2 linked regions of the Rhinolophus ferrumequinum genome follow. The protein of the gene in region 1 interacts with the protein of each later gene in a biochemical or structural test. Links are inferred from orthologs where the notes say so. Each region holds a gene or a part of one and is shown on either strand. Other genes may lie near its edges. The genes, in order: HUS1 and RHNO1.

Region 1 (15,358 bases):
GACAGAACTGCAGGCAGAAAAGGAGATTTGGGGAGTAAAGAACCGGTAAGAGAAGCGCGGTGTTTGCTGTCAGAGCTGATGTGGCGCTGCCACAGGCGGGTCCCTCTGAGAGTGGGGGCGGTCAGTCTGGCCAGTGACAAACACACAACTCTGTCTCCTGGCCACAGTGCAGCGCAGAGCCTGCTGCCTGCCTCCACTCTGCAGACAGGGCGCTGGCTGCCAGGCTGCCCCCGGAACCTGGCAGAACTGAGACTCGACGGCCGAGCCCAGAGCTACAAGGCACCTGCACTCAGAAAGGTCCCTGGTAGCCGTGCACGCTGGCATCATGCAAAGCGCCGTCTGAAACCTGCACGAACTCTGTGCTGAAGCACGCTTCCACCGCTCGGCCTAGAACGACGCCCGAGCCCGGCACAGCCTCTCCAGGAGCCGCACACGTGGACACTGGTGCCCGCTGCCCCACCCAGCCAGGCCCGCCCTCCTCCCCTCCGACCCGCGGCCACCCCCCACCTCCGGTGCCCTCCACCCCACCTAACACCTTCCTGTGACATCCAGGCTATGCCCTCCTGTGGTCTCTCCTCCTCTTCCAGCCTCTCATTCTACAGGCTGGTCCTAGACACAGCCCCCTGGAATTTTCCATTCCTTCTCTACAGAGTGCTGACGATCTGACAGTTATCAGGTACATTCTGGGCCCTCCTCCTTCTCAGCTGTGCTCACAGGTGGCTGAGTGCCAGCCTGGCCGCTGTCACTAAGAGGACAGTTTCCTGTGATCTCTGTGGCCAGGAGCAAGCCAGCCTTGGGAGACCCTGGGAGTGAGCCCTCCTCAGGTGTGGCCGATGGGCAAGGACGCCGAGGCAGGTGTGTGGCTGCGGGAGACGGAATCAAGGGGGCAGGCGAGAGGACGCAGGCGCCAGGTACGGGACAGGTGAGGTTTAGACACAGGAAGGAAGCGAGGGCATCGCGATGGGAACGTCAAGCCCAGCGCGTCAGGGCGTCGCGTCTGTCAGGCTGGGTCAGCGCCGACGACAGGCGGTTAGTACGCGTCCTCCTGCAGCCTCTCTCCAGGCACAGACCACGTATGATGCCCGGTGAGAGGCGTGGACCCCGCCAGGCCTGCAGGAGCCCGACCCCGCAGCTGTCTCCTGCGGTGCCTCTGCGTACCTCAGAACCCGGGAAACCCAAACACCTGAGGGCCTGGAGAACCAGAGGCCACATGACCGAGCTGTCACACACTTGCGAGACCACGTACAACCTGGGGAGCTGAGGAGATGAATGTGTTGGAAGTGTGACAAACAAGAAAACGCACTTACTGCAGATGGCCTTTGTGGGGTTCACTTGCTGTCCAGAAAGAAACTGCAGGAACTTCCTGATATCCACGTGCACTTCTGCCATGCGCGCTGGGTTTCTGTCTTGAGAGGCGTTTTCAGAGGCTAAAACCACAGGGACACCTTCAGACGTGACAGGGAACCCAGAGAAGCGAAGTGGCACTTAACGTAAACGAGCTGCGTTACCCTGATCAGCGTGCTGCAGAAATACTGCAAAACGTGGATGTAATCCTTCGGTCTGCGAGAACATACCAAGTCCTGACTCTGGAACACTGTGCTAATTTACAGGGTAGCTTCTCTTACGGGGACCCAAAATATGGCCCACTGTCCCCGTTAGGCCAGATCACGGTGTCGCCTCGTGTGCGTACGTATATCAAACAGCTAAGACACACACAGCTAATGGGAGGCCTCTCATTCCCAGGCGAAAGAAACGTCCTCTCACCTCTGGGAAAGGGAAGGCCCTCTTTGCCATTCATTAAAACAAACAAAATGAGTGACGGTAACCAAGTCCTCTGGCACAGCTGTAATCAAAGCCTTGCTTACACGGATGTCGCCTTGTCCCACGGGGAGGGGACGCCCCTCTCAGCAATGCTAAGTGCGCCTGTGACAAGCACACCAGGAGCAAGACACTAATTCTCAGAGTGACGAGCCCCGTGTGTCTGGGACACATGCGTGACGACACCGGGGTCTACTTGTCAGCGGGCGCCCCTCAGACCGCCCCTCCGACCACCCCGCCCATGACCCCAGGCGCTCAGTCTCTCCCCTTCACTACTTCCTGAACTGACTCGTGGTCCCTTATCGCCTTGTAGGAGACAAAACATCTGATCACGTGAGGAGTTCCGATTGGCTAATCTAATTTCATAAGCATTAAGGAGGCAAAATAGGTGACAGTAAGAAATGCTCTCTACCTGACTCCATTCCAAGTGACAAACTACAATCTCTAGTAGCAGAAACAGCAGTTTAAGAGCGGGCAGAGCTTGGGATCTCCCAGCTCAGCCAGCCCCAGTTGGCAGACCCTGCGCCCATCCTTCCGCCTCCCAGCGGCAGGCACACTCCTTATGCCCCGGGGCTCACCTTCCCACTCCACAGGCCAGTGGCAGGTGACTAACCTCAGTCATGTCCCCTCCCCAGGCCTGAGTCACAGGCACTGAAACAACCTCTTCAGGTAAGAGACCCCCAGTCATCTGAAACAATGTATCGGGAGCAAACAGAACCCACCAGGAAACTCACCAAATGGAGGGTTGCCCAGATCTTTAAAATGAGTTGTAACACACACTAGCTCAGATTCTATTTTCAAGTTCAGGTCCCCATTTCGGTTTGCTTCAATTATCTGCAAATGGAGCATTTCAGTCTTAAAAAAGAAAAGGAAATGACCTCCAACCCCCAAAAATCACCACAGGCATTGGCTTCCACCAAACCAGGTGACAAGGTAGCCCTACCGACCCCCAGAACACTTCTGATGGCACCAAGACCCACACGGCATCAACTACAGAGAAGACGAGGCCTGAGAACCCCCGCAGGAGAGGAGCCTGGAGAACTCGGCAGAGACCCAAAACAGGCAGTGCTGGGGGCCCGGCCAGGGGACGGGAATCAGAGAGGCCTGCACAGGGTGGGCACCCTGGGTTCTGCGGAGGACGACGACGAGGGGGAGGGGCCAGGAAGCCCAGGAGAGCTGGCCACAGGGAAGGCCGCGTGCCCTACACTTTGACATGACGGAACAGAGAACCCACAGTGCTTAAGCCACAAACCCACCCGAACCACAAACCCACCCGGTCCCCCCACCTGAAAGGAATGAGTGTCCTAAGGGGATTGTGGTCAGACCCCAAACCAAGACATTCTGGAAAGAGGAATAACACTGGCCAAACAGCACTCAGGGGCCTGGGGGTGCTGCGCGAAGCAGACGCAGAGAGGGAGGGACTTTTGTTCCAGGAAGAGCTGGAAGAAACTGAGGACAGTGAAGCTACGAAAGGAGAGCACAGGTCAGAATCAGGGACGCCCCGACATGTCGTGCCCAGACCGCTTGCAGATGTACAAAGAGAGCTGCCAGGACTCAGGAAGTAACTGGAAATATAAGGGCAAATATCGGAAATGGAAAGTAAACAGGCAAGAAACCAGGAGAACGTGGGCACACAGACAGCGCAGGAAGAGAAGACGAGGCAGAAAGTCAGAAAATACAAATTACCGAACAGAAACGGAGGTAGAGGGGATCTGGACAGCAGGTGAGTGGGGAGCCCCGAGGCCGGCAGGAGGATCATGCTCACCAGACACCTCCCAGTGGAGAGGCCGCACACCCGGACTTCAGAGAAAGCAGGGAACTGCCGGGACCTAGCCACGCCCCCGCCCCACGAGGAAGTCCCAGCCACTCCCACAGGAGGCGGAGCCAGAATCCTGCCCACAGCACGTCAGGGTGAAGATGTGCGCACAAGGGCCTCACACCCTGCACACCGCGCTTGTTTCTGCTGCTCCCACCCCACTCACACAGCCCCTCCACGAGGCCACGGCTCCCATAAAGGAAGGGAGAGAGGGTGGAGCCTCAGCATGCCGCTTCAGCTCCCCTCGGGACAGGAGGTGTTTTTCATGTACTGAGTCGCACTCAGCGGCCTTATGTCCCCTGCCTGTCACCTTAAGACACAGAACCTGTCACCCGGGTAGATGTCCTCGGGCCCTTGGTTCTACTTCCCACACGTGACAACTTTCCATGTAGGAGGGCAGATGGCAGCAGGCACGCCACAACACTTTTGTTTGTTTTTAAATACTCCGGAGAAAAACACTTCTTCTGATGATTTTCTCTACCCAGGCTACTGGGCCAACTCATTGCCCTTGGACAGAAAGAACAAAACAATGGGGTCCGCAGATGAATTGACCGGCCTGGCCTTTTCTCTCCTGGGCCTCTTCGAAGCTCTCTGAGGTCCCCAGGGCATCCCGCCCTGGCAGTGGAAGCTTCCCACCTGACATCTGGGTCAACAATGGTGCACTGACGGGAGCACCCCAAGCGCAGCACAGCTCACACTGCAGCAGCGGAAGCTGACTGCAAGTTCAAATGACATCTAGGAGATTAAGCCAAGAAACACAATCACTCTTATGTGACCACCATCACAGGTATGAACGGCCCACAAACATTTCCTAGGCTTCAGAAAACCTTTGCAATTCCAAAGATCGCTTGAAGGTACATTTCATTCCAGGTCCATGCGACAACACTTATTAACCGCCCGCTGGGTGACAGTCCCACAGTGGTGGCCGGGACACAAAGATGGTTGAGATAGCGTTTCCCTTTCCGATGCTGGCAGGTCACTTAGCATAGAGCACTGAGCACAGAGTTACAGCGAATGGCGAGAGGCTAACGTGGGGGGACGTGGGAGAAAACACAGCGAGTGTGAAATGGCCGAGACAGAGCCTGGAAAGAGCCGGCAGTGTGGGGAAGGACAAGAGTCGAGGGAGGTTTTGCAGGGATGGTGTGGCCACATGACAGGGGACGAGGCCGGGCAGATGAAGATCAAAAGTGGACACTTCGTCAGGCTGATGGAGGTTTTTAGAAGATTCGGGACATAATCAAATGTTTGGGGTCAAGCAAAGGAAGAATTCAGAGAATCCCAGGGGTGACTGGGGACCATCCACACCCTTCCCCATCACTGTCACATGCTGTAGCATTTTGTGACACTGTAGTGGACCAACCGCCACATAAGCAAACAGCAAAGGAAATACATCCATGTACTTGGCAAACAGCTGATGAGGGGGCGACAGCGTGTGCTGGGGGGCTCCGAGCTGAGACCGCCACTAAGTAGACAGGACACTTCCATCACTGCCAGTGTCGGTGATTCATAAAACACATACACACAACAGACAAGCTGGGAGGTTTTGTCCAAAACACAAGTGAAGGAAGCCAGAACTGTTGGCTATGTTGTTAATAGGCTATAAATACAAGTGTGATGGACCAGGGCAAATATAAAAGCCTCCCCCGTGAGAGAGAGGAAAGCACCAGCACAGGTTTCCTGGACTCCGTGAAACCGCAGCTCTCAAGAACAGGCCGGTGAGGGCGCCCGCCGCACCGGGCCTCAGGGTACCCACAGGGCCCCCACACCTGTGGCAGGCATGCCGCCTGAACCCAATACTCCGGGCTCCTTTCCGAGGAAGTTGTAACTTACAAGGTGGTTGCTGATGTTTTTCATTCTTTCCACCACGCTCTTCATAGTCTTCAGGACTGGCAAATAAATACTAACCTACGAAAGCAATGAGAAAACTCAGGAGAATTAAAGATGTGAGTACAGTCAAGTGCTGACAGGTGCAACCTACTGCCTACGTTTGCCACGCATGCATGCTTAGCAGCTCTGGAATCTGGAGTTTTACACTGTCCTTTTAAAATATGAAACAAAAACAATTTTATTTCCCTAACTCACGCCTGCCTCTGTGGTTACCTTGGCGACCACACACCTGTGGGCACTCTGGCTCCACAGACTGCAGCCCTTCGGCCAGAGGCCTTATGTTACCCAAGGGGAATAAGACTCTGAGGGACACACCCTCAGACAGGCCTTCTTACCCCGGAAAAGGACCATGAGGAAGTCCCTGCACCAGCGCTCAGACCAGGTCACCAACAGTGCTTGATACAATGCTGGCTTTTCCCAGGTGGTGCGGATATCCTCCAGTAAAATTCCTTTTCCACGGTCTCTTCTCCAATAAATCGTATGCAAGAAGCAACAGACTTGTGGGCCTCATCTTTATTTCCCGCTGCCCAGGGATTCCTGCCAGGACTGGGGTAGCCTCTGCCCTTGGCTCTTACGCACACCCAGGCATCACTCCTTACAGGATGAGGTAAAATCACGTTCTGAGACCCAAACAGGCGCCTAAGCCATCACTCCCGACAGAAACCAGTCCCCCACAGTGCTCCCTCCGTGTAGTCTAGTTTTATTTAAGCGCCACTGCTGAGCAAGACATTGTCTCCCACCTGTGGCGTGTGGCTTTACTGCTACACGCTGCCCTGTTTTAAGATCTTTATGTAAACAGCAAAAGGCAAATACTCCATTTTTTTTCGTGGAGTATCCTTTAAAAATGAGCGTCACTCACATCACAGTCTGGGACTGTCGGTTCCTGTAAATCCTTCCACAGTTTCCTAGGAATGACCTTTATGGGGATATCGTGGGTTACAATGCGACTACTGCTCGACACAGATAACTGCCAAGAGAAGAATCACACAGTATTTTTATAACGTCAATATTAAAAAAAACCAAAACAAAAAAAGAACTAAGGGACAAAAATAAAAAAGCTAACATACCACATCTAAGTGGAATGTTCCATTCATCAAAACCTGTTCAACAGATACTCAGGGTGTGCGTGGTCTGCTCTGGGTTAGGAGCTGGGACGTGTGCTGAACAAGCAATGTCATTAAGTAGGAGGAGAAACTGAGTCCAGGGGAAAACACTCAGGTGCCAGAAAACCAGTTAACGTTCAACCGCCAGCCAGTGCAGCTCCTTCTGGGAAGTTTCAGAATCGCTCCCCTCCTACTCACCAGCTCTATGGAGACGGTGAGGCAGGGAAAGTGTTTATTAGTCAGCTTGATTTTCAAGGCTCTGGCATTCTGGGCAGTTTTCAAGGCTCGAGACAGATTCTCTGATGTCAGCTCTAAATAAATCGCATTGTTTTCTGCTGACACACCTTCCATTTGAAATTCGTTGAAGAAGTTCTCCTAAGGGAAGACAAGGAGGGACACCTGTGCCCTCTCCGACGGCACCGGGCAGCGTGTGACGCCTCGCAGGAGCCTCTGCTCACCTGTTCCAGCTCACACCACATGCTCACCCCTCCACTGGCCACCTTGTCGGAGAGGATGAAGTTCAGGTGACGCGGGCTGATGCGCAGAGTGCAGGTTTTGGCCAGCTTGGCTATCATGTTGCTGACTCCTGTAGCAGGGGGTGAAGGGAAGGAATTCCTGGCAAGCACACCACGAACCCGAGCTCAACACGGCGCCACCTCCAGGCGGACACACGGCCGTTCGTCGTGGGACCCCACCGGAAAGCAGCTTAGCACCGAGAAGTCCGGCAGCCTCCCCACACCCCGCCACTCGCGCGGCGCACGTCAGGCTGCAACGAGGCGCCGGCGCTCGCAGGGCGCATCCACGCCGGCAGCACACTGGGCCACGGGGTCTGCGCCACGTAAGGCTGCCTCCCGCGGCCCGCCGCCGGCCCACGAGGGAACGCCAGGCGCCGGCACGCGGGTTTTAGAAACAACCCGGGCACCCGCTGCCCCGCCCACAGACGCGCGTCCCGCGCGCTGCCCGCGCCCTCCTCGCCCGAGGCCCGCCGCGCGCAGCCTCCTTCCGGCGCGCCCTCCCCTCTGGGCTCCTCCCCACACCGCCCGGGCGGGCGCGGCCCCGCTCACGCGTGAAGTGGTTCAGACAGGCCGCGTCCACGATTTTGGCCCGAAACTTCATGCCGGAACGCGGGCCCGCGCGGGGGACCCGTCACCCGCGGACCCCGGTGTCGCCCTCGGCGTCCCTCCGGAAACGCCGCCGCGCGCCCAGAGGTTCCGCCCGGCTCGGCCCGGCCTCCGTGAGCCGCGTCACGCCCCCCGGCGGGGAGGCGGGCCCCGTGTGACGCTGTGGGTCACGTACGCGGGGAGGCGGGGTTCGGTAACGCCCCCGGCCGAGCAGGCGGCTGCTTTCGGCGACGCGCCAGTCCTCCCCGCCCCCAGGTAGGAGGAGTGGTTCCGGGGACTCACGTTTTGGAAGAACGTTGTGACACCTGTTGCCAATTCTGTTAAAACGTCAGAACTAAAACCAATCGCTTATTTATCAAAGGCAATTAAAATGATCGCTTAGATATCTGCCGCTCGGATGTAGGTCACTTTCGAACCCCTTCCAGGCCCAGACGCTAGTGCTGGCTCCCGCTCGCCGGGGCCCGTAGCACCACGTTGGATCACGGTTTTAAAATTGTGGTAAAAGCGGGATCATGTTTAGAGAACATTGACGTTAAGTGGTAACTGCAACTTTGTCTCCTGATGAACTTCACCAGATCCTGTGAAAGTCCTTAAAGCATAAATGATGTAATGATGTTACACGATTAAAAAAAAAAAAGGAACAAAAACTGTATCCAGCTTGGTGTTTCGGAGTTCATTATGTTTGCTTATTGTGCAAGGAAGTGCCCTCATCCCGTCCCCCAGGTGGCAGCACGGTGGCAGTGAAGCACAGCCGACGGCAGGCGGGGTGTGCAGTGGGAAGCCGGGGAGCCCGTCCTCACCGCCGCAGGCGCTGCGCGCTCCACCCAGGTAAGGACTGTGCGCCTTCCCGGGCGGCCCGAAGCGTCTGCCCAGCGTGTGCCCCGTGCTTGTTCGTCCTCCCCATCCCTCGGGGGCCCATTTGCAGTCCTGTTGTGAGCACTTAATGTTGAAAAAGTTGCTCACTGGGAAGACACTGGCATAGCTCAGAGGTTCAGGTTGGATTTGTCTTCTTTTTCTTTTACGTGAGAAAACTGTGAAATGACGGACAGCACACTGTGCGGCACGAGTGAATGAATGTCTTTTGAGAAATGCGCTCCATGAAGGGATGGGTTTTGCTTAAGCGGCTCTTCAAAGACTCTTCTCGTGTTTTAGACGTTAAAGGAAAACTACTTCAATAAATGTCATAAATATCCTTTAAATTAACATTTGTGGCGCCCATGAGAAGTGTCAGGCACTGGGCACTGGATGCTGGGCCCTGGGGCTCTGAGAAAGGACGTACCCACCACCTGGGAGGGAAACCCACGTTTTTGGCCGCCCACCGTGTTTCACTTCCAAGGCACTGTTGAATGGTACCCATCCATAGGGTGGGGTCAATCACTACCCTTTTTATAGCACTTGACACTGATTGGTGTCACCTTGGTAACAAGCACCCATAGGTGAGTGCTATTCGCCATTTTAAAGATGGCGGATAGAACTGAAATGTTGGCCTTGCTGCGCGCGCGCCCCACACGCCCCGGGTGAGAATCTGCCTCTCGGCCTTGTGAGTGCACAGTGAGGGGAGAGGGCCTGGAAGTGGGGTTAAGAACCGACCGTGATGAAGCCTCCATAAAGATCCCAAAAGTAGGGGGTTCAGAAGCTTCTGGGTTGGTGAACACGTTTGTGTGCCAGGAGGGTAGGGGGCCCCCTCTTCACGGGGAAGGAAGAGCCTCTGCATTGGCCTGCCTGGACCTGGCCGTATGTATCTCTTCACCTGGCTGCTCATCTCTATCCTTTGTCATACCCTTTGTTACATAGCAAAATGGTAAATTTAAATGTTTTCCTGAATTCTGTGAGCTGTTCTAGCAAATAATTGAATCTATGGCAGGGTAATCATGGAAAGCCAAGTTGGACAGAAGTTGTGGGTAACCTGGGGATCTACTATTTGGCATCTGAAATAGAGAGCGGTCTCGTGGGACTGAGCCCGACGCTCTTGAGCTCACTCCGGTTGTGTCAGAATTGTAGGATGCCCGGCTGGTACCACTGAATTGCCTGGTGTGAGAAAGAAAAAACAAACACAAAAACCCCACACAATCTGGTGTCAGAATTGTTGTGAGTGTGTTTGTTGTGTGAGAGTAAAGGAGAAACACAAGTGAGTTTTTCCTCTACAACCATTACGTAAGAAAACGAGAGACCATGTTTTATGCTAAACATTTTTTAATTAAAAAATGGTATAGGTAAGGAATAGGTAATATTTTCACGTGATTTGAAAACAAAACATTATACAGTAGACCATTTTGCTTCCACCTATGTGGGTGTCTCTTCTGCCCCATTCCCATTTTATTTACTCTCTCCTCCTGGTGAACATTGCTGATTAACGTGTTATATATGTATGTTGCACGTGACTCCTTGAGTCAAAAGGTATGTGCCTTCCTAATTCTGAGAGACATTGCCAGGTTCCCTCCACAATGGTTTTCTCTGTTTGCATTTTCACCATCAATGTGTGAGAGAGTCTATTTCCTCAAAGCCTTACCAATGAAATGTTATCAAACTTTTCTTAATTTCATTGGTGAAACATGGTACCTACCGTGTAACTTTTGACATTTTTCTTAAAATAAATAAGCTCGAATACCTTTTCATATGTTCCTAAGAAAAATCTCTTTGTGCTGTCCAGCCGTTTTTCTATGCAGCTATTGATAGTATTGCTTTCTCGAGACTCTTTACATATGGAAAAGATTGGTCCTCATGATATCAATGACAAATATATTTTTCTGTTTTGTTTAAGGTTTTGTTGGCCATGTAGAGGTTTTTTCAATTTTATGTAAGTGTGAGTCTTGTTTAGAAAAGGTCTTCCTCTATCCAATGCCATACAAGACTTAGCCCAAGTTTTCTTGGTTTATTTTTATGGTTTCATTACCTACCTATAAATAATCACCATATTGGAAATTCGTCATGTTGCAAAGTGAGAAATAATAGGTGCAATTTTCTTTTCTTAATGACAGAGTAATTGTCCCAAACCATTCCTTTTTCCTGTCTGCTTTTAAGATGCCACCGTTATCGTATTCTAAATTCCTACATAGATATAAATCTATTTCTGATATATCAGAAACAGACTTGTTTTGTCTGTTCCATTGGTTTATCAATGTTCTAGCACCACACAATTTTAATTATTGTTTTAATCAACATCATACAGTTCTTTGTCTTTTTTTTTTCATCCAGAGGTTTCCTGGCTTCCTACTAAGTTTATATTTCCAAATGAACTTTAGAATCAATTTGGCTTAAAACACAACACTTCTAGTTACTTATATATGTTTTAATCTTTTTAAAACTTTCTAAAATTGAAAATATCAAACATATGTAAATGAATGCAGAATAGTAGACATGAAGCCCCGTGGACCAGCACACAACTTCGATGATCATTGCATGGCCAGTCTTCTCTATGGATCCTCCCATACATTTCCTCCTCTTATTATTTTGAAACATATCTCAGATATATCATTTCATCTGTAAATATTTAAATATATAAATCTAAACAAGAATAATTCTTTTTTAGTAACAACATCGAAATACTATTATCACACAGGCACTGAAATATCCTTAATTTCCCATAATTGTCTCAGAAATACCTTTTTTCTGGGTGTTAATTGAGATTAAAGTGAATTTATAGATTAATTTAGTGAACACTGACATCTTGATAGCTGAGTTTTCGTATCCACAGGAAAGGTGTGTCTTTCCATCATTGAAGTCTTCTTATCATCCACTGCTGTTTGGAGTGTTTTCAAACAGGTAGTTTAATTGTTTCGTTTATCTGATTCGTTTTCATCTTTGTTGTGGCTTTTGTAAATTATATCCTCCAACTGGTTGTTTGTATTTATACATAATGTTGATTTATATGTGGTAATTTTCTTTCCACTAACTTACTGCAGTTTTTCCTGTGTGTGGTGTATTTTTTGATTGACTTTATTGCATTTGAAGGAATTCATCAGATCATCTGCAAATAGTCATGGTCAGACATCCTCACTCCTTTTAAACTCTGATTTCTTTCACTTATCTAACCAAATTGACCAGTGTGTCCAGATATGTGTTAAGTAACAGTGGTAACAGGCCATCCACGCCTGGTGTGGATGAACAAATTAAGGAAGGCAGAGGTGTTCCTATGAGAAAGACTGTTGAGTAATACCACCTTCGAGACAGATTTACTTGTCAGGGCTCCAGCGACATTCATCCCCAAAGCAAAGCTACCAGAAGGAGACTGAATCACTTTTACACTTTTACTAGTAAAATTCATCCACTTTGAGGTTTCCCTCCCACTGCCGATTTCCACCCCTCTGAGTGTAGTGAAGCGAAGGGGCAGGGACACTTGGCTGTCCTAACCCCCTGGCCGTCACCTTCTGCACCAGCTCTTCTAGGTGTGGTCTCCCGGGGTGCCGTGCACCCTGAATCTATATAAACAAGTGTACTTCGTGTGTCCCCAGTTGCTGAGGATTTTAAGTTTCACACATAATAAGGATTCAGAAACTTCATGCTGAAAATAAAGAAAAAATAAAATTAATGCCTTATCAAGAAATCCATCTCAAAGAATCCCGAGGAAGGCTGACGTAATGGGAAATTCAAACTCTTTCCTTCCTCCCTTCCTAACACAAGGGTATCCAAACATCACTCTAGTGGACGAGAAAATGAGCCACCGTAAGTAAAGAGCTCCTAAGAAGACAAGTTCCGGGGAAGGAAGAGCGTATGGCAGCCTGGACACCAGGTGCTCTCACTTCCTCTCAGATGCCCCCACAGTGCTCCTACATGGCCGTCCCATGAGGGAGTGAGTGACACGGCCGTACAGTCACATAGGAAACTCCTCAGGCACATTCAGTTCTAACACATTGTTTTCAGCCTAGATTTTCTCACCATGGGCCAAGTAGTGTCATCAAACACTTGCTTTTACATGATATGAGACGCCTTCTGTATTTCTTCATTACTTCCTGTGGCTAATGAGAGACAGTGAAGATATATTTCATGCACCTTAATGACTTTCGGGGGCCTTGTATGCTAACAGTTGGTGCTTTTTCCCCTTTGAGTTAAGGAGAGAAGTTTTGCCTGTATCGTCTGGTGTTAAGTATTTGTTTTCTCTTCCCCTGACTTCCTCTCTGCCTCTAACCATCTCATACTGCACCACCGCCCTCATAAGAAAGTTGAGACAGTGACTGTCTAACCTAACAGTGCAAGGGAACCAGACTGGTAAGAGAAGGACTGAGAAGGTGAATACAGTTTTTAAAAAGTGATAGCAAACGAGGAAGAATTAGGCTTAGAAGCCACTTCGGTATTTGCCTGTCTTTTGCATTAAAATGCACATAAGCACTGGGAGCTCAGAACTGAAGCTCAGAAAAGCCTCGTTTAGCTTATGCTCCTGTCACGGTTATTCTCACACACCACTTCCGGCACGCAACCCCAACACACCCCTCCCAGGAGCGGAGCCCGCATCCCCTAGCCAGGGCTCATTACCTGGAGCTCAAAGGTTTGAACCGTGGTTCCTGTTTTGTTATATAAAAACTGACCTAGGAAAACCTCTTCTCCTCCACATTGTTTCAAGCTGCCCTATAAAAAAAAGTAACAGACATGTAGATCATCAGGAACGGATGCTCGGTTAACATAAATGGAGGCAGATGTGTATGCAAGGAGCAACAGTTCTCCAGACGTCTTTGGGGTCCGCCACGGGCGCAGTGCTGGCCCAGGTGCCAGTGCTGCCCTATATACCCCAAAGGTGTTGAACTTTGCAGTTTGCAAGGCAAGAGGCAGGCTGATCACAGGGCTCACTAGACAGGTAGGAAGAAGGTAGTTAGATAGATACATAGACAGATAAATACCTGAAATGTAGATGAAGGGTGCTCGGAGGGTGGCGGGGTGGGTGGGTGGATGGAGATAGATAGATAGATAGAACAAACCTCAGGCCTACTAACTGTATCTGCAGTCAGAAGACTTTGAATAAACTAAAACAAAAGTCCCTATGTTGACCCAGTGTTTTCCAAAATAAGATAAACTTAATCCAATTTCCAGACTGATCATACAAATAGCTCTATCCAAAAAGTATTTGCTGACTGAAAGAAAATATTGATATTTGTATGTAGTTTCATTTATTTATTTATTTATTTTACCTTCCTTCTCTACCTTTCAAAACCAAGGTTTTTGAGAGGAAAATACACTGGTGGGAATTAACTTATTTGTGACTATCTAAAGTTTATCTTTAGGTTCCTTAAATCATAGTAGCACAACAAAATAAAGAGTTCATTAATTAAATTGTTTTATAATGAACATATTGATATTTAAACTATTTGTAACATAGTTTTATTAAAAGAATACATCATGATTAAACAACGCACCCGCGATTACAGATATAAAAAACCCAAGCCTCATGTGGTTCCTTTAGTAGGGTAAGGAGGAGTGCTCATTTTATCTCCACCTTCTTTATTACCCTGTTTTAACTTTACTTGGTTCATAAATTTGCTAATATAAGAGAAAAACAATGAGAAGTAGTTTTGATTACTGAAGGATTCACCCATAATTCCTCGGTAATGAGCAACTGTGTGCACCTGTCTGAGGTGGGGTATGACCTGCTCAGATTCAGCCCAACTCAACTGTCGGGCTCAGCAGACAACTATCGTGGGTGGCAGCAGGCTTGCACCAAAGGATGGTGGTCATCTTTCTGTTCTGCAGCCCAGAGTCACGGCCTTCAGAGGCATTTGATGAAACACAGGCAAGCCGCCACGTTTAACTCTGAGCCCTCCCTCAGACAGGATACCAGGAGACTGAAGGCAAGACTAAACCTACAAGGAAGGCATGGGAGCAGACACCAGACACAAAGCCTGGACATGGCCAAAGGGCCAGTGGGGTAGTGCCCTGGAGAAAACACAGACTTCCCTGGCTGTGGAAACACGCTGACACGGATGTACACTGCAAGTCCCAGAAAGCTCCACAGGCGGGACATGGGGCTGTAGGGGCCCCAGCAGACAGGGAGCTGAAGCAGTTAGCCCCCAGCCCCTGACCGGTAATCATCCCGGCCTGGCCCAGCACTAACTGCCTTCATCCTCCCAGTTCTGGGACAGCTGGGCTCAGGAGACCTGCACATGTCAGAGGTGAGGGCATAGCCTGTGTGCTGAGGGCATACCATGCTCCTCTTCTCTCAGCAGCCCCAGCATGTGGTCGCCAAGCTGAAACCTGGGCACAGCTTGTAGAATTCCTCCCAGGGTCAACCTGCCCAATCCCACACTCTGGAGTCTCCAGAAAAAATGGCCCAACTAGACCACTGCCTGTGAAGACCTCGGTCCACCCACCCCACCAGGTGTGCAAAGCTTTCACTGGCTTTTTACTGTTTAGCTCTTAAACATGACACACAAACATCACCAGACATGTGAGAAAAGCACATAACGAGAAGGGCAGAGACCCCGTCAACAGGGGAGGGAGCAGAAAAAAACGAAACAAAACTATAATATCTCTGGAGACTTAAGAGAAAACATTGCATCCACAGAAGAAGAAATTTAGACTTTAAAAGACTATTGGGCCGGCCCGGTGGCTCAGGTGGTTGTAGCTCCGTGCTCCTAACTCCAAAGACTGCTGGTTCGATTCCCACATGGGCCAGTGGGTTCTCAACC
Region 2 (15,303 bases), on another chromosome or scaffold:
GCATCCCAATGGTATGAAAGGAATACAGCATTTTTAACCATGTAGTTTTCTTAAAAGATACATTAATAGCAAATAAAGTGAGTTAGATGTGAATTTTAAATTCTTCCCCAGCAATCATAATTGATTTGACCCGATTGTGTAGCCTGGGGTTGATTTTCACAATAGCCACACACCTAGCTTCTGTTGTATATACCATATTTTGCCGTGCGCAATGCGCACTTTTTTGCCCAAATTTGTGAGGGAAGTATAAGGGTGCGCATTATACATGGGAAGTACTAATTCTAATCTATATAAATGTTTTTAATTCTTTTATTGATGCTTATGAGTTAAAAGTGTAACTCTAGAAGTCAATAATGATATCCGTATGCAAAATAATATCCTGGAATACGATAATTGATTTTGTTGAACTTACGACAAACTTGCAATGAAAGTAATTTCAGCCAACAATTCAATGAAATGAGACAAAGAGCGACGTCTTGTTGTCCACAGAGTAAGTGACTGTGACTTGATAAGACAGGTGATGCCGACTCTGTTACCACAGGGTGAACAGGGCGACATTTCTCTTCGTGCACTTTAGGCGGGAGCTGGCAATCTAGCCGATATTTTTTACAAAAATCCCTTGGAAAATTAAAACGAAAGATTTTTTTCCCCTGAAAGTTTGGGCCAAAAGCATGGGTGCACATTATACACGGAAGCACATTATACACGGCGAAATATGGTATCCTTTATTATTATTTTTAATTAATTAATTTATTTATTTATTTTTATTTTATTTTTTAAAGAAAAATATGGTATCCTTTAATCATTCATTCCACAACCTTTAAAAGTGAAAATTTACATGGGTGTGTACCAAAGTGAAAATTGAGTTGTTCATTTAAAACTTGTGTACTTTATAAAGTTATTTATATAAATATATAATACAATAAATTTATATTTATATAAATATACGTTAAATATATAAATTTAGAAATATGTATATAAATGTAATAAAGCTCAATATTTTAAAATGTGAATGATCAGCTCCTTGCGTAAGACTTAGCCAAATGTGTGCTTTGCAGACATTTGTCTGTCCTGTACTCTTGGAGATGTTTCTCTCACACAAACATTGAAAGGAGATGAATTTATTCACATCACATCAGGAGTAGGAATCGGACTAAGACCTAGGTCTCTTGACCCCCAGGTCTGAAAAGTGGGTGTGCTTTTAGTGTAAAATCAATGCACTATGAATCATAATATATACCCAAACTTTCCTGAGAGGTTTTCAACTAGCAATCACTGGAGTTCTACTTATTATTGGTCAGTATCTTTCACAAAATGAATAAAGACAGAGAAGTGGTTCTACATTGTCTGGGGACCGAACTGGATCATCTCTCAGATCCTGCCTAATCCTAAACTTTTATTCTATGGAACAGACAAACTTTTATTCTATGGAACAAACTCAGATGAGTTTGTTTCCAGTGTGATTTTATGGGACACAAGGCTTCTCTAGGGAATGTCCTTCGAGTGGGGGTGGAGGAGGTCTTGTGAATGCTTCCATGTCGTTCCCTTTTCTCTCTCCCTCTGGCTTCTTACAAACCCCAGGTTGAGGAGCCCCCGGGAGCATCGCCATCCTGGCAGGACTCTGTGTCTGAGCGGCCCCCGTACTCTTACATGGCCATGATACAATTCGCCATCAACAGCACCGAGAGGAAGCGCATGACCTTGAAAGACATCTACACTTGGATCGAGGACCACTTCCCTTATTTTAAGCACATGGCCAAGCCAGGCTGGAAGGTACTGTGTCCCATAACAACCAAAGTCAAGGCCACTCTGGCCTGACAGTGTGTCTACACAGATGTGCAGCAGTTTGTGTCTGGTGTCCTGAGAGAGAGTTAAGTGCAAATGATGCTGGAACTATAAACAATTATATCTTTTGGATTGTGACTTGATCCTGCTGAATCCAGGCAAAACCATTGATAAGAGCTAGGCAACCACGTGTGTCACTACCTAAGGTTTATGGGGACTTTTCAGTGTAGCACTAAGTTCACTTTTGCTGCACTGAACAGCAGCTGGAGTCACTAAGGCCTTATGAAAAGACCTTTTTAAAAAATGCTGTCTGTGAGCCTCGTGATTTACCTCCTCTGATGTCACATATTATCTCTAGAAAGCAGGGATTCTCTCTTGATTTTGTTCACGGGACACAGATGCCTGGAAGTCATTGCAACTCACACAACAATGTCAGCGCCACAGTTCAGGTCCCCTGACAGATGCTCAACTCCAAGCCAAAGGTTTTTTGTTTGGTTCTTCCCACAGTAGAACTTTTAACTTCACCCTCTCACCTCAACTACATTTCCTAGTTTCTTAATGTTGTTACTGGCCTATCTTGCTATTGACTATTGCTTCACAGTCTCACTCCTCTTTCTCAGTTGGTGTTTCCCTAACACCAACCTAAGGAATGTCCTCAGCCTTAATCCCTGGATAGACGGGTTTATGGCTGAGGTGGGTGACTGTGGCGTGAGGGTCAGGGAGCGAGGTGGACACTCCACTAAGCCTGTGCTGGGTACAGTGAGTGAGGCCTGAGGCTGATTTCCCTACAGGAAACAGCAAAGGTGATGTTTCTGAAGCTAAAGCACCTCCTCATCGGTTGTCTTTCTCTTCTTTCAGAATTCCATTCGACACAACCTTTCTCTGCATGACATGTTTGTTCGAGAGACATCTGCCAATGGCAAGGTCTCCTTTTGGACCATTCACCCCAGTGCCAATCGCTACCTGACTTTGGACCAGGTGTTTAAGGTGAGTGTCCTGGCTTCGTCTGAGTGGGGCCAGAGTTGGAGGTGGTCATATCCATCTCAAAAAGGAAACAAGTTGACTTGTGATGCGCTTAACTGATCAGCGCAGAGTTAGACACCAGCCAGCCCCATAGGTGATTTGCATGTAACTCACAGGATTAAGTACAGTTGACAAATATCAAATAACACACTTTGGTGCTAAACCAGGCCATGGAGAGGATTGCTCTGATCCAAATAGAGGACATCGCGAGGCAGTGTTTCCCTAACTGCTGTGTGGATGTGAAGAACTGCCTGGGATACTTATTAAAATACAGCTTCCCGGGCTCCTGTCTGGGGGCTTCTGATTCAGTGGGTCTGGGATGGGCCCAGAAATATGTATTTTTAACAAGCACCTCAGGTGATTCTTACAGACAAAGTCTGAGAAAACTTGTTTTAAAAAAGCACTTTAGGCTGGAGACCAGAAACCGAGCTAGCATTCAGAAGCAATTGTGTTGGGATTTCAGAGTGCCCATACTCTCCTAGCTGTCACCATTCTCCTGGGAGGGACAGTTGTCCAGGGTGGCCCTCGGCGCCAGTCAGAAATAGGTGTTTTTCCCAATGTGGTCGGCCTGGTTGACCGTGCTGGTGGTAACTTCATCTCATTTCTCTCCCACAATGCCTGACCGCCACCAGCCACTGGACCCAGGGTCTCCACAATCGCCCGAGCACTTGGAATCAGTAAGATTCTTTCCCTCTGGCTCGGGGCTTGGCCTTGTTTTCCTTTCACTGCTCAGCATGGCTTTAGTGGACAGGGACAAGACACTAAGCAGGGGAAGGGAGCCTGTGGCTGGGTGACTGCCAGCCCTGCACTCAGGGCACCCCGAGCTTCTGGGAGTGAGGCACTGTGTGACTACCACCTCGTCTCCCCAGAAGGAGGGCTTGTGCCCACTGCTCCTGCCCCTCACATCACGAAGGCACACTGAGCAGAGCGTGCGTGGCAGGAGGACATGGCACGGGCGTGGTGCGTGTGGCACAGCAACCACAATGCATGGTGGGCCTGGCAGGTGGCAGTGTTTCCTCTGGCTTTCCTTTGCCACAGGAAAGGAAAGCTCCATGCTTTAGCATCCCCTGGGGTGGTGAGGACACATGGATGAGGTGCTGGGACCATCTGCCACCGTGCGTCTGTGTGCTGTCCACCTTTGCCACTATCTAGGCTTTGGTGGCAGTGCTCGCCTGCAACCTCCCAGAGCAGCTTCCATTTCTGGGCTGCCGGTTAGCTCAGTGCACGGTGCCAGAGCAGCCAGTGGGTGCCCCCACCGTCTCCCCGCCTGATTAACTCAGGTTTCTTTCTCTCCCTGTCTGCCACACGCAGCAGCAGAAGCGGCCCAATCCTGAGCTCCGCCGGAACGTGACCATCCGAGCCGACCTCCCCCTGGGCGCACGTTAGTATGGGAGAGTGGACTTCCGGCCTGAGCCTTGCTCTGGGAGCACGGCCGGAAGGGATCGGACTCCGGATGCTGTGCCCAGCTCAGAGGGATCTGATCCCAGAGGGGATGAGAAGGGGTGTGCCCTGGACCTCTGCCCCTCACTGCCCCTATTTCCTCCCAGGGCGGAAGATGAAGCCGCTGCTGCCCCGCGTCAGTTCGTACCTGGTGCCCATCCAGTTCCCGGTGAACCAGCCGCTGGTGCTACAGCCCTCGGTGAAGGTGCCACTGCCCCTGGCAGCTTCCCTCATGAGCTCAGAGCTTGCCCGCCATAGCAAGCGAGTCCGCATTGCCCCTAAGGTGAGTGGCTTCTGATTTCCTCGGAGGAGTAAAAGTGTTGGACCTACACCTGCAACGTACTCTGCTGAATGTTCCTTGAGAAGCTTATACGTCTAGTTGGGCAGACAAGGCACACATACAAAGGAAAACTTAATTATAAAGGCTAAAAAGGAATTTGGATTACAATGTAATGGTACCAGAAGGCCCATAAATACCTGATGAGTTTATAAGAATTCAGACAAGGTGATGATGACAGACGGGCTGGGAGGGTTAAGGAAGAGTTTGCAAGGGAAGTAGGTCTCAGAAAGGAGTAGATTTAGGTAAGCACCCAGGTGTGGAGAGAGCATGGAGGCAGGAGATGCCGGCTTGTGCCCAGTGACGGTGGAGGGCCTGGGTCAGTCTGGCTCCGCGTTTCTCAGCCTCGGCACTGTTGACATTTAGAGCTGGATAAATGTTTGCTGGGGGTGAAGGGCGGCTGCCCTGTGCACGGGAGGATGTTTAATGACATCCCTTGTCTCCTCCCACGAGAGACCAGGAGCACTCCCACCCCGACCTGTGTGACAATCAGAATGCCCCAGACGTGGCCACAGGTCTCCTGGGGGCGGAATCACTCCTCAATGGAGCATCCCTGGTCTAGTTTGAGGGAAAGTGAGGAGATTAAGCCATACTGCGATGGACTACCAAGTCTGAACTTCACCCTCTCGAGAAGGTTTTGAGAGCGGGAGCTGACCTGGAGCAAAGTAGGGAAAAGGGCTCCTGCCCCCTCATGAGATGGACATAGCATGGGCTCTGGAGTTTAGAGAGACTTGGGTTTGCTTTTGTTTTATTTAAAAGATACTTTTAAAATATATATAAAATTATACATATCACTATATGTAATTTTACATATGTGTGTTAATGTGATGGTAGCATGTGTATGGTTTTTGTTTTAATGCAGTCTTTTTCCTCCTCCTTTTTGTCTCCCCGCCATTTCCCCTTCACCCGCACCACCCTCGCTCTCCAAGCTAACCCGTGTTGACAATTTAGAATGCTTTCTTCCATACTTTATCCATGCTCTTAGTATAACAGACATATATAGCCATAGTCATTCTATATATACACACACAACACAGAACATTGAAAATGGGATCATATTACACACTCTGCTTCATGGAAATTCTTCCAAACCACTTGGCATAGCTCTAATTCATTTTTTTTTTCAATTTTTTCCCCCTTTTCTTCTTTTATTGGGGAATATCGGGGAACTGTGTGCCTCTCCAGGGCTCTTCAGCCCCAAGCCAAGTCGCCGTTCTTTCCATCTAGTTGTGGAGGGCGCAGCCGAGCCCCAAGCCCAGTCGCTGTCTTCAATCCTCGTTGCAGGGGGCGCAGCCCACCATCCCATGCAGGAATCGAACCGGCAACCCTGCTGCTGAGAGCTCGTGCTCTAACCAACTGAGCCATCCGGCCGCCCTAATTCATTGTCTTTTAATGGCCACATAATATTCCATGGTGTGGCTATGCCATAATTTTTCCAGCCATTCCACTTTTATGGGCACATTTTGTTTCTAGTTCTTTTGCCTTATGAACAACATTGCAATAAATATCTTTGCAAGTATCTTTCTTACTAATGCTTTCATGTCTCTGGGATAGAGTCGCAGATATGAGATTGCTCAGTGAAGAGGTATTCTAAATTTTACCTAATATTGCTAGATTGCTTTTCCAAAAAAATCTGTGATAATTCACATTTCCACCAGCAGGATATGACAAGACCGGTGTCTTTCTTTGCCAGCAATTGGTGTTATTAATCTTTTTAATATTTGCCTGTCTAATGTGCATAAATGATGTCTCCATGAACTATTTGCTTAGCAGGAAATGGGAGCCCCTCCTCATTATATTTCGTCACTTGGGAGTGTTCACTGTGAATTGTTTATTTATGGACTTTGCCCATTTTTCTACAGGGTTTCGTTAATTGTGGGAGTTCTTTGTTGTTAAAATATTAACCTTGTCTTTTATGTTGAAGATTTTTTTTACTTCTACTGTTTGTTTCTGAACTTTGTTTATGGTATCTCTTGCCACAATAAGATATTAAATTTTTATATGGTCAACTATGTATTTCCTCTCGTTTACAGCTTCTGGGTTTCCAGTCTTGGTTAAGAAGGGTCACCCCTACCCTCAGATTGTACATGTAGTCTCCTAGGTTCTCTTTCAGGATTTGTATGGTTTTAATTTTTCTGTTGTCTTTGTAGATGGTATAAAATAGATATCTAATTTTATTTTATCTCAGATAGATAATGATTATGTCAGCACCCTTGTGGTTGAGAGCCCGCGCTCTAACCAACTGAGCTCAGTGGCAGCCCAGCTCAAGGTGCCGTGTTCAATCTTAGTTGCAGGGGGCGCTGCCCACCATCCCTTGCTGGACTCGAGGAGTTGAACCGGCAACCTTGTGGCTGAGAGCCCACTGGCCCATGTGGGAATCGAACCGGCAGCCTTCGGAGTTAGGAGCACGGAGCTCTAACCACCTGAGCCACCAGGCCGGCCCATCATATATTCTTGTATTTTATACTTTTTAAGATTTTAAAAAGACAAAAAGAGGATCAGTAGCAGCATGTCACTTACTTTAGTCATGATCTTGTGTCCCGCCTGGTGACTGGGTTGAGTCTCGAGGTTTCGACAGCCCCTTTCCACCTTATCCCTGCTTGCCTTTCAGGTGCTGCTGGCTGATGAGGGGGTAGCCCCTCTGCCCACTGCAGGACCAGTGAAAGAGGAGAAACTCCTGCTTGGAGAAGGGCTGTGCCCTCTGCTTCCAGTTCAGTCCATCAAGGAGGAAGACATCCAGCCTGGGGAGGAAATGCCACACTTAGGGCGGCCCATCAAGGTCGAGAGCCCACCCCTGGAAGAGTGGCCCTCGCCATGCCCGTCTGTCAAAGAGGAGCTGTCTCAGTCCTGGGAGGACTCGTCCCACTCTCCCACTCCAAGGCCCAAGAAGTCCTACAGTGGGCTCAAGTCCCCAGCCCGGTGTGTCTCGGAAATGCTCGTGATTAAACGAAGGGAGCGGAGGGAAAGGAGCCGGTCTCGAAGGAAACAGCACCTCCAGCCTCCCTGTGTGGATGAGCCCGAGCTGGTCTTCTCAGAGGGCCCCGGGACTTCGCGCCGAGCCCCAGAGCTCGCTCTCCCCTCAGAGTCCTCTGCGCCTGTCTCCCAGCTTGGCTACTCCCAGGGGGAGGAAGGACCTTTTAAGACACCCATTAAGGAGACGTTGCCCATCTCCTCCACCCCAAGCAAATCTGTCCTCCCCTTGACCCCTGAATCCTGGAGGCTCACACCCCCAGCCAAAATCGGGGGGCTAGATTTCAGCCCAGTACGAACCCCCCAGGGTCCCTTTGGTCCCTTGCATGACTCCCTGGGGCTGACAGATCTCAGTACCACCCCACTGAAAAATATCCCCCTTTTTGATTCACCTCAAGAGCTCCTCAATTCCGAGCCTTTTGACCTCCCCTCTGACCCCTTTAGGAGCTGTTCCCCCTCAGATATGGAGGTCCCCAAGCCAGGCTCCCCTGAGCCACAGGTTGCCAGCCTTTCAGCCAACCGTTCCCTCACAGAAGGTCTGGTTCTGGACACAATGAATGACAGCCTCAGCAAGATCCTGCTGGACATCAGCTTCCCTGGCCTAGAGGAGGACCTGTTGGGCCCTGACAGCGCCAGCTGGGCTCAGCTCATCCCTGAGCTGCGGTAGAGATCTGTCCACTCCCGGGCACTTGTGGGGCTGGGCCTGGGCCGTGCAAGGCCTCTGTGTAAGGACAGCAGGCAGGGCCTGTCCGCTCCTCGAGCCCCACCTTGCCCGGTTATGCCAAGGCAGACGTCACGCCATAGCTGCCACAGGGCCCTCTGCAAGCAGCAAGGCCCTGGTGCCTGGTTTCTGCTGCCCTGTGCTTCCCGCGAGGACCTGATTCCTCCCTATCCCTGCTACAGCTGGACGGTGGGCGTAGCAAAGACAAAGGGGAAACAAGATTAGGAATTCCTCAAACTGTGTGTTCTGTGCCCAGCAGTCCCTTACCTTCCCTGTTCCTTGCAGGGGGGCCCTTGTAAATAGTGTATATTCTCCAAAATTATCCTCTAATTATAAATGTAAGCTTATTTCCTTAGATCATTATCTAGAGACTGCCAGGTGGGTAGGATGACAGCGGTGTCAGTTGGCTTCTGTTCCTTGCTTTTAGTTCCTAGAGAAGGGGGGGACCTGCGGTGCACGGTTTCTTCCAGGCCCGAGGTACCTGCCTCAAGGGTTCTTTACTGTAGGCCCCCAGACAGGTGGATCTGCTTGCCAGGGTCCCTCTTATTGCCCCTCCCACCACCTCATGTTTCCAAGTCAGCTTTCCCACAAGAAGTCCTTGTTATGAGGTCTCTTGTAATAGGTCAAGTTGAATTGGGGGTAGGGGGTGGATGCATCTAAAGCAAAGAGTGGGTGCCCAGATGTGCACCCATGAGATGTTTCTCTGATAATGTCCCTAATCATGCCAGGGAGACTAGCATTGATGAGAACGTGGCCCAAGGTGTGAGAAGGCGGAAAGGGCCCTGACCTGCCTGGCTTCCTTAGCTTGCACTGCAGCTTTGCAAAGAGCTACCCTCGGCCCCAGCTGACCACGTGCCTGGGAGCCAGCTCGAGAACACTACTGTAACCACTACTCAATAAAACCCAGGCTGCAAATGCTGCTCTCTGTGGTGTGTCTGTCTGGCCCCCACGGCATAAGGAGGGGTTGGAAAAGAAAGTGGGTGGTGATAAAGACGGTGGGAATGGAGGAGGCAAGGCCTGAAGCCAACGTGGAGAAGCACCTGAAGGAGAGTGCAAAGGACCTGAGCGTGGATCACCTGTGTCACACCCTGCGCAGGCACACACAGCCTTTCGAACGGGAGCTGGCAGCTTTCCCAGTGCTGGTCCTGCTCAGCCAGTCCCCAGGAAGGGAAAGGCCTACACAGGGGCAGACCTCGGACCGTTAGGGAAGGAAGGAAGGGCCCCCTTCAGGTGCCTCATGACCACCTCCACCCCCTACCCAAGGCCTGGAAGCCAGCCTGCCCTGCTTTCCTTCCCAGGCCAGTCTCCAGAAGCAGCTCCCGTTACCATCTTTTGCAGTCAGAACTTCAGAGTCCCATCTCTTGCCCGTGTCACCTGAAGCAGCCAGGTCCCCAGGGAGTAATGAGCCCTCCTCCCTGTGTCACCACTCAGGAAGCATCACCATAGCAACCCCAGCAGCAAACAATGCTGCCTGTAAGATCTTCCCTACAGAGCTGCCCCTCCCAGCAATCAGGCTCAGAAGAAAATGGCCTGTCACCCACGAAGATCACCCAGAGGGCGGAATACATCCCATGTCAGAGAACCTTTCCGGCAGGTAGGGGCCCAGGCCCCATCCCTGGGGTGGGCCAGGCTTTCTCCAGGGCAGCAGATCTCTAGGCCCATGACCTCTGCTGTCTTCTCTTAGTCCCATAATACTGTGAACATGGAGCTCAGAACAGAGGAGAGGAGATGCCTGGTTATTACATCTGGGGTGGTCACAGAAGTGACAGGGACCTGGCCCACGAAACAGGGGACTTGTGGAATTAGAAAAGTCCTAGGAGTGTACTGGAGGAAGAGGCATCTTTGAAGAAGATGGGTAGTGCAGACAGACAGACGGCCTAGGTCCCAGCTCTGCCACTCACTCCCCTGGCACTTTGGATGAGTTATTTACCCTCATTGTATCTTGCTCTTTGCATCTTTGAGAAGGGGACCATGACAGCACCTGCTCATAGGGCTGTGAGGGTTAAACAAGGTGTGGATGAGTATTTGGCATATTTGCTACCGTTTATTTCATAGGGGTGGGGCCCAGAAAGGGGAGGGACCAACATTTTAAATGCTTTCTATACTTGCTGGTATTTTAATGAGAAGTGAGGGCAACACAGCAATGACAGAGAAATGAGTCACAGGAGGAGTCTAGGATAGAAAAGCACCCAGCCCCCAAGCTCTGTAGAAAGACTTCCCTTCTACACTTGGCTTGGTAAGGCATGTTTTTCCTCAGGATTTCCTCAGGCCTGATGTGTCCTGTTAGGAGCACCCATTCCTGGGCGGGAGTGTGGGCACTTCCTGGGCAGCACAATGGAGAGGATGGGTGAAAGGAAGGAGCGAAGAGGGGAAATTCAAGTTGAGGAAAGAGGGTAGGAAATCAAAGCCCAAACCGGAGAGATGGAAAGAGAACAGGTGAGAAGTCCATGAAGTTCCTGCAGGTAGGGGGAGAATAATACAGAGCAGACATGGTTCCATGCCAGTGTCCTGATGGGAACCCTGTGTCTGGAGGAGACTGGCAGCTTCTTTCCTCTGCGGCTGCTCCTGGAAGAAGAGGCAGAGTGCCGGCAAGCTCCCTTTGTCTCTCCCTAGATGGTCGAGGCCGGTGAGGCCCTACTGGCCTCCCACACGTGGCCTCAGCGTGAGTTCTTCCTCCCGGATGAGCCCTGGGAATGGCCTGGCTTCACCCGGCAAGCCTACCACCAGCTGGCCCTGAAGCTGCCACCCTGCACAGACATGAAGTCCAAGGTACACCACCGACTAATCCACCCGTGGAAGGATACAACGGAGCACACGTGGGGCTTCCACACGTGGCTCGACGTGGGGCGCTTGCCGGCTACCTTCCCCGCCAGGCCCGACAGGCCCTATGACAGTAATGTCTGGCGCAGGCTGACCAACTCCAGGGCTCACTGCCGCCCCCCAACGGAGCCCCCCATTCCCCCTCCCTCCTGGATGGGTCAAAACAGCTTTCTGACCTTCATCTGCAGTAATCCTCCTATCTTCTTGGATGCGAATAGGAAGAGCCAGGTGATGTTCAGGACAGCGAAGGAACTAAGAGAGATGGAGAAACTCAAACTGAGGAGTGAAGCAAGGGCACCTCCACTTGATGCCAATGGCAACATCCTGCCCCCAAAGAACTTCAAGAAGTAAGAGGCACTCCTTCCTCAGGGAGCTCACCCGCCAACCCACATTCAGGTGACCCCTCCCTCTCTCTGCTTCCTGTTGCTGATATCTCACTTGGTACTCTAACTTTCCCACCTCTGGTCATCAAAAACTAAACTCTGTTCTGAATGTAGCTGGAGGGAAGGGATGGAGGCAAGGGAAGGACAGCCAGGAGAGGGGTTCAATTTTTTAACTAAAATTATGGGGATGCGACCATGTACTTAACACCTGCTAGGCTCTGGGGAGACCGAGAAATGCCATGCAGTCCCCGCCCTCAAGGAGCTTACGAAAGGCAGGAACCTACTTATATACATGCGAGGAAAGAAATCTATCAATACAAGCGCACACGTGCTAAGTGCCCAAAGTGTGAGACAGAGGATGGGTCTTGTAATGATGTCCATTATTAATGGAAAAACCTGAAAGCTGGAGTTGGAGGCTAGAATTAAAGTCTAGACTGTGTTCCTTTGGCAAATTGCTTAGCTTTTCCAGACTCAGTTCCATCGTTGATTGTTAATAATTCCATTATCAACAAAATAGGCATGGTAAATACTATGCCTACCTCAGTGGTGAAGATAAAGTTGGTTAATGAATATACGAAAGCTCTAAACAAAAAATAGACATTATTACAGAAATTCAGATGAGGGAGGGAAGAAGGGGTTGCTGTGGGCTGGCACATCCTCCCAGGAAGGCTTCATGAGGAATTGGATGAAGGCTGGAAGGGTAGGAAGCCTTCGGAAAGGCAGAAAGGAGGGGCTGCCTGGTGTGAGCAGAGAGGAATGTGAAAGTTGCTATTTGAGAACCCCACAGCTCTCCCCACCTTGCCCATCGTGGGAACTCACAGATATTGCCATACTGGGTCCTGTCCAGTACGAGTGGCCGGAAAGGAAGAGAGGAATAAGGAATGGAATGTCTCAAATTCCAATCCCAAGGGCATTAACAGAAGCAGTGAGAGGTTGGAGGGGGAGGCGTGGAGATCTGTAATCTTAAAAAAGCAATGCCAATACTTGGTAATTTTGAGAGAAGATTTTTCAGGCCCTTCACTTCCCTCTACTGTCCCTACAATGAAGACTATTTTTTTATTTTTTATTTTTGTATATTTATTTATTTATTTATTTATATTTATTTATTTTTGCATGAAGATTATTGATGGCTAATATGGGCCAACACTAGGCACACAAAGGTGAAGACTTAGAACACTCCTCAAAAAAACTTAGTGAAATGAGAGTGCCAGATGTTGTTCTAATCACTTTAACTATATTATTTAATCCTCCCATTCCCTCGGAATAGAAACTATTATGATCAACCCCATGTTGCAGATGGGGCATCTGAAGCACAGAGAGCTCGACTATCTTGTTCACGTTCACACAGCCTGTGAACGGCAGGGCTAGGATTTGAACCCAGGGAGCTCAGCTCCCGAGCTGCATTCCTACCCACTCTGCTCCACTCCACTCTTGTCTGATTGGGGAATCAGACAAGTTCACAGACACGTCTAGTAGAACAGAATGGTCAGTAAAGGCAGTATAGGAAGATACAATTAGTCATAAAAGGAGCTCAGCACAGTGCCTGGCGTACAGTAATGATGTGTGACGTCAGGAGCAGCGTGGCCTCTGGGGGCAAGCAGGTCCAGGTGGCACTCTACCTAGCTCCATCACAAACCCGCTATACAACCTGAAGTTTCGCAAACTCTTCGAGTCTCACTTTCCTCAAGTATGTATTGGAGCCAGTCCATGCAGGGTTTTTAGAAGAGTCCTAGGGACGGGACCTGGTATACAGAAGGGGCTCTGTAAATCGTGTCATCATTAGTACAGCGTCTCCATGAGAGAAGGAGCCTGGTTTTGCTTATTGCTGCTGTAGGCCTAGCCCCTGGAGCCAGGAATGAAGGCCTGAGTCTCAGACAGGGTTTTGCTATTCACAGAGGAGGAGGTAGTTGAGCTGGCCCTTCAAGGCTGTGTACAAGTTCAGCAGGTGGGAACAAGAAAGAGTGGTGAGAGCAAAGGCCCACCCAGCTCTGTCATTCCTCTTGAGCCGCGCTGCCAGAGGTTATCGTTAATTGTTAAAATGGCTCTAGATCCATGAGAGAGCACATTCTGAGCATGAGAGACCCAGAGAACTTCAGACAAGGTCTAAGCCTCCAGATGCTCGTGATCTGGCTGGGAAATAGAACTTTTACATATAAACCCAGCCGTTCTCAGGTCTGGCGGTACATTGGAGTCACCTGGGCTTCTGGAGGAGCATGCTGAGGTTTGAGCCCCACCTGGGAGATTCTAACTTACCTGACCTGGGGTGGGGGGAGGGGTGGCCTGGGCACTAGTGTTTTTAAAAAGCTGCTGAGGGTGGTTCTTTCGTGCAGCCCGGCCTGAGAAGCTCTGATATAAACCAAAGACAGCAAACGGGGATACCTGTTGAACCAGGGGCAAAGCACGTTGAGCAACAGGAAATTTGCCACTATTCAAATATGGCTTTTAAAATGTCCACTTCCCACTGTTGAACTTAATATGACAGGCCTGTAGAAGACGAAGCCAGTAAACCAGGTGTCGGGAGGCAGCAGGTCAGAGCGGGAAGGGCTCTTGGATGGCGTCACATTCACCAGTGATGAGAAGGAGACTTGCGCTGAGTTCGCGCTCCTGGAGGGATAGTTAGAATCTGGATAATGATGTGACCTATAAATATGTCAAAAGGCTGGAAGATTGACCAGATAAACACAAGTATTCGAGCCTAATGCCAAACACGCACACACAGGGTGCAGGCCATTTGGAACAGAGTCATATGCAATTAGGAAAAGAGACGAAGGGATCCCACACGCGCTATCTCTCACTAGCCTGTGGGAGGCAGCAGCCTGACACTTTCCCATCTCAGCCCCTTCCACCATGCCTGATCTCTCCTTTGACCTCTGTTCTCTCCACACCTCCTCCCCCCAACAGGTACCGACACATCTCAGCTGGTGGGAGGTTTGAACCCCTCGGCCTCCAGCTCCTGCCCAACCCACTTCCCGATGATTCTGCCAGGGGCTGGCCATGCCCGAATCCTCTGCCTCATTATCGGGAGAATGCGCTCAAGTTGGCTTTGCTCCCCAGTGCGCCGCTAGACCAGGACCTCGTGAGAAGCTACCAAACCCTGATAGAGGACCGGGTGCTCTTGCCCCTCCACCATCTCCCCAAAGCACAACCCAGCCAAGACGTAGCGAGGAAGAGAAAGAGAAGAGCTGGACACACCTAGAAAAGCTTCCAGATGGGTGGGGACCATGGTGGGCAGACAGAACCCCATTCTCAACCAATGTGCCGTTAGCAAGAAGCCTTTGGGGTGGCTGAAGGACTCTGGCTTCTGCAGAACACAGCCTGTCCGCCATCCCCCCAACTTCAAGCCACCTCTGTAGCCCGGGCTCCTCACGAATCTACCGAAACCCTAAATTGTTCTCTGTCCTCCTTGGAGGACTCTTTCATAGCAGGTGGGAAGACTGCGGGGCGGGTAGAGCAGAGAGCACAAGGGGGATCCAGTTCCTAGGGCCAGAACGGGGAGTGGGGAGGAAGAACATGTGTGTGTGTGTGTGTGTGTGTGTGTGTGTGTGTGTGTGTGTTAGAGTGGGGGAAGAGGCGCTGTAAGAAATGTGGTAAGAAGTTACCTCTACTCCCATAGCCCATTGAAACAAGACTGGGATTGATCAGGGTACAGAAAGCTTCTTAGGCAAAAATAACCTTGATGCCACCCCTCCCTGGACCATTTGATGTCTGGACAAAGGCTGGAAGCAACTCTGCTGGGCTGCAGGTCCCACACAGGGTTTGGGGGAGCAAAGGCCAGGCCAAGGCTGGTGCTGGAGGATGGAAGAGTCAGGTCTGAGAAAGGCTGA

The links.
Region 2: the proteins of HUS1 (region 1) and RHNO1 form a complex in vitro, tested with the Homo sapiens proteins (2 studies listed by BioGRID). The link is inferred for Rhinolophus ferrumequinum from reciprocal best matches to the Homo sapiens genes HUS1 and RHNO1.

What each region holds. Positions count from the first base shown.
Region 1 is NC_046303.1:1,210,845-1,226,202, forward strand, and holds the start of HUS1 (checkpoint protein HUS1), read right to left. Parts: upstream 7,987-15,358; 5' UTR 7,741-7,986; coding exon 7,689-7,740; intron 7,211-7,688; coding exon 7,083-7,210; intron 7,000-7,082; coding exon 6,823-6,999; intron 6,489-6,822; coding exon 6,381-6,488; intron 5,540-6,380; coding exon 5,465-5,539; intron 2,653-5,464; coding exon 2,553-2,652; intron 1,428-2,552; coding exon 1,308-1,427; intron 1-1,307. Other genes in the region: SUN3 (SUN domain-containing protein 3), read right to left, coding at 12,127-12,246, 13,215-13,307. UniProt on the Homo sapiens protein: Component of the 9-1-1 cell-cycle checkpoint response complex that plays a major role in DNA repair. The 9-1-1 complex is recruited to DNA lesion upon damage by the RAD17-replication factor C (RFC) clamp loader complex.
Region 2 is NC_046293.1:87,881,526-87,896,828, forward strand, and holds the start of RHNO1 (RAD9, HUS1, RAD1-interacting nuclear orphan protein 1), read right to left. Parts: upstream 7,183-15,303; 5' UTR 7,106-7,182; intron 4,532-7,105; coding exon of another isoform or gene 4,356-4,531; intron 4,190-4,355; coding exon of another isoform or gene 4,120-4,189; intron 3,486-4,119; coding exon of another isoform or gene 3,441-3,485; intron 2,773-3,440; coding exon of another isoform or gene 2,644-2,772; intron 1,774-2,643; coding exon of another isoform or gene 1,582-1,773; intron 1-1,581. Other genes in the region: FOXM1 (forkhead box protein M1), read left to right, coding at 1,582-1,773, 2,644-2,772, 3,441-3,485, 4,120-4,189, 4,356-4,531, 7,197-8,222; TEX52 (testis-expressed protein 52), read left to right, coding at 9,802-9,870, 10,890-11,443, 14,381-14,675. UniProt on the Homo sapiens protein: Involved in microhomology-mediated end-joining (MMEJ) DNA repair by promoting recruitment of polymerase theta (POLQ) to DNA damage sites during mitosis.